Daphnia pulex: one gene and its partner. The protein of the gene in region 1 interacts with the protein of each later gene in a pairwise test. Links are inferred from orthologs where the notes say so. Each region holds a gene or a part of one and is shown on either strand. Other genes may lie near its edges. The genes, in order: axin-like and glycogen synthase kinase-3 beta-like.

What was found.
Region 2: the proteins of axin-like (region 1) and glycogen synthase kinase-3 beta-like interact in a two-hybrid assay, tested with the Drosophila melanogaster proteins (2 studies listed by BioGRID, with this or other methods). The link is inferred for Daphnia pulex from reciprocal best matches to the Drosophila melanogaster genes Axn and sgg.

Annotation. Positions count from the first base shown.
Region 1 is NC_060025.1:2,838,619-2,843,179, forward strand, and holds the start of axin-like, read left to right. Parts: upstream 1-1,645; 5' UTR 1,646-1,796; intron 1,797-2,971; exon of another isoform or gene 2,972-3,193; intron 3,194-3,231; exon of another isoform or gene 3,232-3,454; intron 3,455-3,651; 5' UTR 3,652-3,885; intron 3,886-4,358; 5' UTR 4,359-4,421; coding exon 4,422-4,485; intron 4,486-4,556; coding exon 4,557-4,561.
Region 2 is NC_060024.1:9,782,107-9,786,675, forward strand, and holds the start of glycogen synthase kinase-3 beta-like, read left to right. Parts: upstream 1-1,702; 5' UTR 1,703-2,284; coding exon 2,285-2,345; intron 2,346-2,433; coding exon 2,434-2,624; intron 2,625-2,698; coding exon 2,699-2,782; intron 2,783-2,867; coding exon 2,868-3,216; intron 3,217-3,296; coding exon 3,297-3,490; intron 3,491-4,569. Other genes in the region: alpha-(1,3)-fucosyltransferase C-like, read right to left, coding at 1-46, 111-248, 324-496, 564-698, 773-781.

The DNA of each region.
Region 1 (4,561 bases):
CTGTCTTGCTCAAAACGGTCGGTAACATCATACGGGTCTGTCTCACTAACAAAGTAATCACTATAGTATACCTCAATCGGAACAAATACATAACGATGAATGAATTGAGCAAGCTCATAATTATCGCCTTGAAACACTTTGCGTGATTCCACCCCCTTTGTGTGTAATACGATTTCCCGCAAAGAAAATCATATAATCTATTCAAACTGATAATGAGATTTGGCTGCACCTGCGTGCACCCATCAGGAGAAAGCCCGAAAACTCATTGCTCAAAATTCATTCATAATATACTACTCATCCGCAATAGTTATTGATCCGGAACTGGTCAATAATTCAAAGGTCTTGCGCGGGGGACAAATAGCAAAGTCCGTATTATTTCGCAACATATGTTTTCCGATCAATGTGTGTCGATTCAGCCGATCTAAGCGTTTTTTTTTTATTTATTATAATTTTTCCATATCGTGTGACGTAAGCAAAGGTTTTCAAAACCGAGTCCAAAGTTGGACCGCTAGACGTCCTCCTAGTTATCCTTGTGTACGTACTTCATGGCCAAAGGCTTTAGTGAAGATTTCAAAGTGTCGATGATTTATTATAAAAGGCGGCAGATATCGTAAAAGTGTTTCACTCTTGAACCCACACGAAGCTACAGGCGATTAAAAGATTTGGAATCTGTTTGAAAAAAGAAAGGGATAAACAAAAAAATTGTTTTTCAAAAGGGAAAAATCTTCATTTCAATGTGACTTGGCAGTTTTACGGGGCAGGATTTGATGACTTGATGTACACATCTACCGTTATATTACGGTGTTTGAAGAAGAAGTAAATAATACTATATCCTCTCTCGTCATTTAAACCATTCGAAACTTAATCTGGAGAGAGTGTCAATCAAAATGAAATCAATTCTCTCTTGAGCTCTTAAGATTGCGTAGATTTATTCTTGTGTGTGACTCATATATCAAGACATGGACGACATTTATAGGCCGGAATTAAACGCGAATCAATCCATCTTTTATCGCCAGTAATCTCGATGACTCAAATTCTTTATTTTTTCCCTAATGAAAGTCGATGATAAAATCTGGCGTTGCTAGCGCATTAATGAACATAAAAGACCCCCTCTTTTTCTTATAAAATAATAAATTCCAAATAATAATAATAATAATAATAATAATACTCGTTGTTTGTATACAACGGATGCACTATATATCCATGGCGCATCAGTATTAATGACTAGCGCCGCCAAGATGTCGCGTTCTTTTCTTTCATTTAAGATTTTCTTATCTTGGAGTAGCGCGGCTCTTTTTCTCTTTCCTCTTTACCCCAAAAGTTAAAAAAGAAACCGCCGCGCTCGCGCGCCAGTGTGTAATCTGATTTCCCCGTGTCTGTATGTGTGTGTGTGTATGTGTGTAGGAGAGATAATTCCCAATGAAGCTGCTGCTGCACAGTTAGACTGCCCAGGGTCCGCTGAGTGATCATCATCATCGTGCGAGACAAATGAGTGCGACCAATAGACCAAACCGCCGCCGCCGCCACTTTTTAAAATTTTGAGCGCAGATAAAAGCCTCAAAATGTGGCAAGACCTTTAACTCGCGGTATAAATATCAGATCCATCTTTATTTTTTTTCCTACCCGAATGACACAGATATCTGGTGGGGGTATAAGAAAGGAGTTGGTCGGCGAGGTGTTTAGACGTGTCCGCGGTGAAGTGCAATTGTTGTTGTTGTTGTTCATCCATCATCTTTTGGTCCAACGGTGGAACTAATTTGCCGACTTCAGCAGCAGCAGCTTCGATTTGATTCCAGGTAGGTAGATATATTTTGAGAACATCCATCTTTTATTATAATATACTATATAAGATGCAATTGAGTCGGATGCAAATTGATCCGGGACATCCATCAACTTGGCTGTCGGCGGAAGTGGCCTCCTCCTCCTCCTTTTGGGCGGCCGCCGCCGTTTGATAATTTCGCCGCGCGGCAGCAGACAACAATTCCCACCATCCTATCCTAATAATAATAAGAAAAAGAGCTGATCTATATTTACGATGCTGCGGCATTTTGTTGGCTTGAATCCATCTGCTGCTGGTCGCGTAATCGACCAAGAGTCACTTTACCTTGACACGTCGTCGGCAATGGAATTTCGTTTTTTTTTCCCCGGACAACACATTCTCTCCAGCATTTTGAAGAAAGAGATAGATGACATCAACATCTCGAACCCCGCAAGCCAGCATGCTGCTGGTTAAAAGCCTTTTTTTTTATTTTTCTATTTTTTAACTTGAAATATACTCAAAAAAGAGCCGCGGGTCAATAGAAGAAAGGCCGCCGCCGCCGCCACCGCCGCCTTCCTTTTTTTAACACATAGTCTTGATTATCGCGCGGCTTGTTTTTTCTTCTTGGCCCGACGTGAAGACCTTGAGTGTGTGGTGGCTACCGCCGAAGAAGAATACCCTCTCTAGTCCTATGAAAATGTATGTAACCACCATTAAGGGCAATCATCAGAGTAGGTACAAGACCGACATGATGTCTTGATGGCACACAACGAATCCAGGTGAGGGCAAAACGCCAGGAGGCGTAGATCGACCTGGCTGGATTGATCTAGCTTTTAACTTTGACGTGATATTATATATACAACTCAATCGCTTTTTAGAAAATATATATATAAATACAGCAGAGGCGACATTTCCACAGAAGGAAGGAATTTGAGTTACATGAACCCGCTCCAAGGCTTCCCCCCTTTTCTTCTTTTTTGGGTGTTATTTGTTCGGTACACTTTGATGCCCTTTCATGGAAGCATTATGCAGGCAACACTCGAGATGTATGCATAAGATTATTGCCAATGTAAAAAAAAGTAAAGATCATTAGGCGATTTTTGTGAAAGAATGTCGGCACCTGCAAAGTCATGGCGAAAAGCTGAAGAAAAAGAAAGAAAGAATAAAGGAACTTGTGAGGAAGAAGAATGTCTTGGCGAATCGATTTCTAGCCAACTATCGATATATAGACATCGGGTGTACGTTTCTCGATACGATATAGGGGGAATGGGAACTGAGTTGTTTGGAGTTGAGCAGAAGCCGTCCGTCTTTTTTTCGAGTTTCATTTATTTCATTTTTTTGTGTTTTCTGTTTCTTTCCCTGAGTTGTGGCCCGTTGTTGACACGACGGCCGAAATTAATCTGAAAAAATTCGAGTGAAAATTCGATGGAAAAGGTAAATTAAGAGGAGAAACAGAAATCTGACAGAGTGATGCCCCTAGGTTATGCCCCTACTGCATACACATCTGAAAAAGTGACAATGGGCAAGCGATGGGTTTACCTAGACTCGCGTGCCCAGTGATTATTTGCAATCTAGGCAACTCCATTTACCACTCAGACTTATTGAATGTGATGGAAAATGAAATGCAAGTCTTGACTACGGGGAGGCATCACTCTTTTGTCAGGATTGTGAGCAGAGTCTGTATTGATCGACCTGGTGAGAGCTTTTGTAGTGAGTGGGGAGAACTCGGAGAGCAATTTCACTCTTCTCTCCCTTCTCATTTGTAATCCAGGGGCTCTCATCCAGTTTTTTCCAGCTGTCAAATATTGTGAACATTTGAGTAGTGGAAAACACAATAGCTTCTGCTTATGGTTAACAAACTGGTCGATAACTCTTGTACTCTTGTATTACAGGATTTCATCCAGAACCCGTGACAACAATTGGACCACTCATGTGAAGATATCGGGCCTCATTAAGGACTGAAGAGATCGACCCAATAGTTGCAACCCCCACAGACCGTCCAATTATGTTGATGCAGTAGTGATTCGTCGCAGTGTGCCTTATTCATAGCGTGCCTCATAGAAGAAACCAACTCCTCCTTCGCTTCACCCCTCTTATTTCACCAGTCTGGAACTAGATGCTGCCTGGTAAGCAACCTCCGTTTTTTCCATCTCTATTGTAGTCCATTTTTTCCTATTGTTATCTTGCACTCACCAAAAAATGAAAAATCTCCCTACTCATTGTTACGTTGTCAGATTATATTTCGCGCTCCAACGATTCCAATCAATGCTTACCCACCAAAAACTTGCAGTTATTTCTTTTTTTGCTTTCTGATGGTGAGGAGGGGGGCTAGAAGAGGAGGGGGGGGCTGGTGGGCGGAAGAGTGGGTCTTCCAAAGCCGGATATGGGATCTGGGAACGAATTTCTCTGGATGGATTCTCTACACACAGTTGCTGTGGCAGCAGAGTTTAGTTTATTTTGTGAAATTGCCAACTTCGGTTCAGTAGAAGAGTCCAATGTTGATGTTTTTGCTCTAACCAGTGACATCAAGTTGTGATTCGAGTTTCTGGCCATGTTAAAATGTGTGCTAACCATTTCGTTGCATCTCTTTCGTGTCCAGGTGATGCTGCTCCTGTTTTATTTATCGTCCGTTGACTACAACGAACTTGTACAGTGTTAAGTGATGAATGGAGGTGGATCTGTGATTCGTTTTTCGGAATCTGCTCCTCGACCCCCTGTCTTCCCAGGTATGATCCAACTGGTCGCCTTTGTGTGTGCTTATTACATTCATTCTAATGTTGTTGCGTTTTTAATTCAGGTGAA
Region 2 (4,569 bases), on another chromosome or scaffold:
AGTTGTTTCTACAACAGGATAGGGTGTATAGATATCAGAATCCATTCTGTAAAAATGACATTTTAAATAATTAATTATTCATAGGGAGGTTTCAAATATTTTATCTTCACCTAAAAGTCATTGTCCAATTGAAAACATTACTGAGATCATACAAAATATTTGGAGTGTGTAAGGGAGATTCCTGAAGATAAAAAATCCATCGTTGGCGAACGGAACGACGAGGGGGCATATCATTCAAGTCCAAGTCTCTTAATTTTGATTTATGTTTGTTTGATATTTAATAGTTGAATGATTTGGAATAAAACTAATTCATTATTCCTTACCGTATATGGAAAATTATGGCATCACTTACATCAAGGAAATTTCGGTTATTTGTTGAACAACAGGCAAACACTGTGCACTGTTTAAAGGGCTTAATTCCTAATCCAACATAGAAATCATCTGTTTCAAAAAACTTAGTCCAGAAAAGCACAAGTTGTTTTCCTGAACAATTTTTCTGGTAAAATTTGTTAGTCAGTTTTTTTTAAATGTAGGAGAACCATGTTCGTAATCTAATGGCTTACCTTAATTGTTTCATATTCGCTTAAATCATGGGAATGGAATATGGGTGTGTTAAAAACGAAAAATGTCAAGATCAATATACACAACAAAGTTGCAAATAAAGCTATCCTTTTTTGGCTCACAGTGTTAAATAGATTCTAGAAAGCAAAACAATTATGTAGGTTTGTAGCCACTAGGAAGTAAGACTTTATTTCTAAAATAGATCTCTTACATTCGACATATTTTAAGATTCATTGATGTTTATTGATGCTTTCTCACTCCACACTCATTATGTCTAGTAAATTCATTTCCTTTTTTAAAGCTCTTAAAAAATCGCCTCGTCTTCTGAAAGACAACAGGCGAATTTGACAACTGCTTAGCAGACAAAAAAGACCTTTTTAAAAAAATGCCCCCGAAATTGGGTGTAACCTGTGTAACAAAATCGATGCCGATTGGTCCAAAAAGTGTTTAAACGTTGCATTATGCCATAAAGGAATCAATCAATAAGTAATATTCATGATTTATCAAAACGGATTAATATTAGTCATAATATTGGTTGTAGTAATTTCCATTACGTGACTAAATATACGTAAAATCCAAACGGTGGTCCAAACTCCAAAGCCCAAAGGTCACGGTGGACAACAAATGTGAAATCTAACATTTCATCTAATTATTTCCGGTTCTTTCAGGTACAAGAACCTCGGAGTCACAGAAAAATGAAAAAGTTACCAATTTTCTGTAGTGCATGGTATATCCTGATCCTGTTAGTAACAATCCTCGTTTTTTTTTTTCGTTACGTTTTCCTTCTCAATGCCAAATGGATTCCCACACTCAGTTAAGAAAGTACAATATACTGCGCATTTGCACGAAGAATTCGTGATAAGCATCTTGAAATTCATGATTCATACTTGTTTTCAGTTTTTACGAAAATGAATTGGCAAACGATTCACGTATAAACTCCATGGGTTATCTTTATAAATAAGTTTAATAAGTAATAATGAAATTTTTAGATTTTACAAGCACATCAATTTTACAATACAAGTTAATCAGAATTTAATTGTTGAAAGATTTAAAAAGGGCGCGTGCTTGCAACCACATCTATCGGATGTTAGATACAACATGGATTACGTGAGAAACAACAACAGAGAGGCAACGTTGCCATTTAAGTCGAACGGCCCGCCACCTGGTAGCAAAAGTCGTAAGTTCCGCCATATTGCAAAAGTTGGAAAATCTTAAATGGCGTCGTTCTCCGATGTCCTCAGCCCGAGCTAGTTTTACTAGCCATTGCCAACCATTTTTTCCCGCTGCCCGCAAAAAAACTGTTGTGAACTTCATACAGCGGACTGCGTAGAGTGACTTCTAATCTCCTTCTATTGGTTAGGCAGTTGTTGAAAATTTTGATTCTTTTTTCTCGCTCACCTCCCTATCGAAAGAACGTACAGGCCCAAATGGCGTTAGCCATCAGAATCACTGACGGGATTACAGTGTGAAAAACTAGTCACAAGAACGTTTTTCCACTTACACCCGTCCTTTTTCTACCCTCCCATCAACAAGAGTCTACACTCATCTCTTATATATTGAAACAATATACAAAATTCTTAAAAGAGATTTCTGAATCTTGAGGTTGTGTCGAGTGTCAAGTGTCTTCGACTGTGTCAGGTGTGTCTTCTGTGTGCACTGTGTGCAGACTGTAGTTTACAGCTATGTTCTTGGCGTGAGTCAAATTATCATTACAATTTTAAAAATGAGCGGACGGCCGCGCACCACCTCATTTGCTGACAAGACATCTTTAAATCCTTCATTTGGTATGAGCAGTTTCACTCGTCCATTGTCTTCCATAATTTGTACTCACCTGTCATCATTTTCACTTTCTTCTCCAATGCAATCTTTTAGGTAAAGATGGGAGCAAGGTCACCACAGTGGTGGCAACCCCTGGACAGGGACCTGATAGAGCTCAAGAAGTGGCTTACACAGATGCTAAAGTAATAGGAAATGGCAGTTTTGGTGTTGTCTACCAAGCCAAACTATGTGAGACCGGTGAACTTGTGGCCATCAAAAAAGTTCTTCAAGATAAGCGGTTCAAAGTAAATTACAGATTATGACTATGACTTGTACCTGTGTTCATAACTGATGACTTTGTCTTCTTTGTTCTTTCAAGAATCGCGAGCTGCAGATTATGCGGCGCCTGGAACACTGCAACATCGTCAAGTTGAAATACTTTTTCTATTCCAGCGGAGAAAAGGCAAGTTTTTGTGATGATTAAAGCTATTGTTCTTTTTACCAGTGTCTAACAATATGATCTACTCTCTCTTGTTTTGATACTTCAGAAAGATGAGGTGTTTCTCAATTTGGTTTTGGAGTTTATACCCGAGACCGTTTACAAAGTAGCACGTCACTATAGCAAATCCAAACAGACTATTCCTATAAGTTTTATCAAACTATACATGTATCAACTCTTTCGGAGTCTGGCTTACATTCATTCGTTGGGAATCTGTCACCGGGACATCAAGCCACAGAATCTGTTGCTCGATCCCGAGTCTGGTGTACTGAAGCTCTGCGATTTCGGAAGTGCTAAGCATTTGGTCCAGGGTGAGCCCAATGTCTCTTACATTTGCTCACGTTATTATCGGGCACCCGAACTCATTTTCGGAGCCACCGACTACACCACGAATATAGGTAACAAATAAAATAAAAATAACTTTCGATCTTCACTCAATGAACTGCTTTTAACATGTCGGCATTGTTGTGTTGATCAGATGTTTGGAGCGCTGGGTGCGTTTTGGCTGAGTTGCTTTTGGGCCAGCCAATCTTCCCGGGCGACTCTGGGGTCGACCAGTTGGTGGAGATTATCAAAGTCTTGGGCACACCCACCCGAGAACAGATCCGTGAAATGAATCCAAACTACACCGAGTTCAAGTTTCCTCAGATCAAAGCACACCCATGGCAGAAGGTAAATTTATTTTTAACTACCTTAATTAATCTACATATCTTGGCATTTCTTTTTCTCTATGTCTTTTGCTTGCGATTTTCTTTAAGTGTGTTTCTCCTTTCGCACCGTTTCTCGAAAGTTGTTCACATTTCGCAATCTTAACTGGAATGGGTTACGTTGAAATACCTTTGAAGAAAAGCTCTCTTCCAGTTATGCTATACTTACATATCGTGTTGCTTTTGAGGAAGTTGGTGGAAGTTAGGAAAGGTCCTTGTCCTCCTCGAATATTTTGCCTCGTATTTGTTTCCTTCCTAATGAGTCTCTGCCAGTTTGCCAGTAGAAACTGGAGGGGCAAAAAGAATCTAGCCAACAATTTTTTTCTTTTGTTTTGACAGATCGATGATGATGGCATCGATCCCTCGGTTTTATGTACGTACAAGCAAGTAGTAGGGCAGCGTTTTCTTTGCAATGATAGTCGCAACATTACATTAAAGGGTTTGTTGTTTGGCTTATGCGCAGGCTAGTGAAACTTTGCACATACCACACACCATTGATTTTGTTCATATTGACATCGAGCAATTATCGGCCATTTTCTTCATCCTTTTCTTCTTTTCTATACTTTCGGAGTTTTTGTGTTGTGTTTTTTTATTCTCTTCCAGGGGGATTTGACAGGTTTCCACGATGTGGATTTTTTTTTTGTTACTCAATACTGATGGTAATTCCCTGTGTTCACCTGTTCACGGAGCTTCCTCCTTTTTTTTGTACGATTTCATTTTTCCTTGCACGTGGCAATGAAGACCCTCTTTTTCTGTATGGGGTCTGACCTTTAAATTCGACGTTAAATCAAAATGTTGCTGACGACAATCTTTTTTTTTTCTTTTTGTTTTTGTTTTTTTTTGTTTTTATATTTTTTCTCCCCTTTTATATCGACAGTCGATGCTCGAGAAAATTACTGTGAGTCGGGCTGAAGCTAAACCTGTGGTTAAGTTTCGCGTAAGTAGAATCCTGTCTCTTTCGCCTTAACGCCCCTCCTGTTAAACCCCCCTCCGAGCCTCCCCTGCTGACACGAGTAGGATAGGAAACACACACAAAAAAATAAC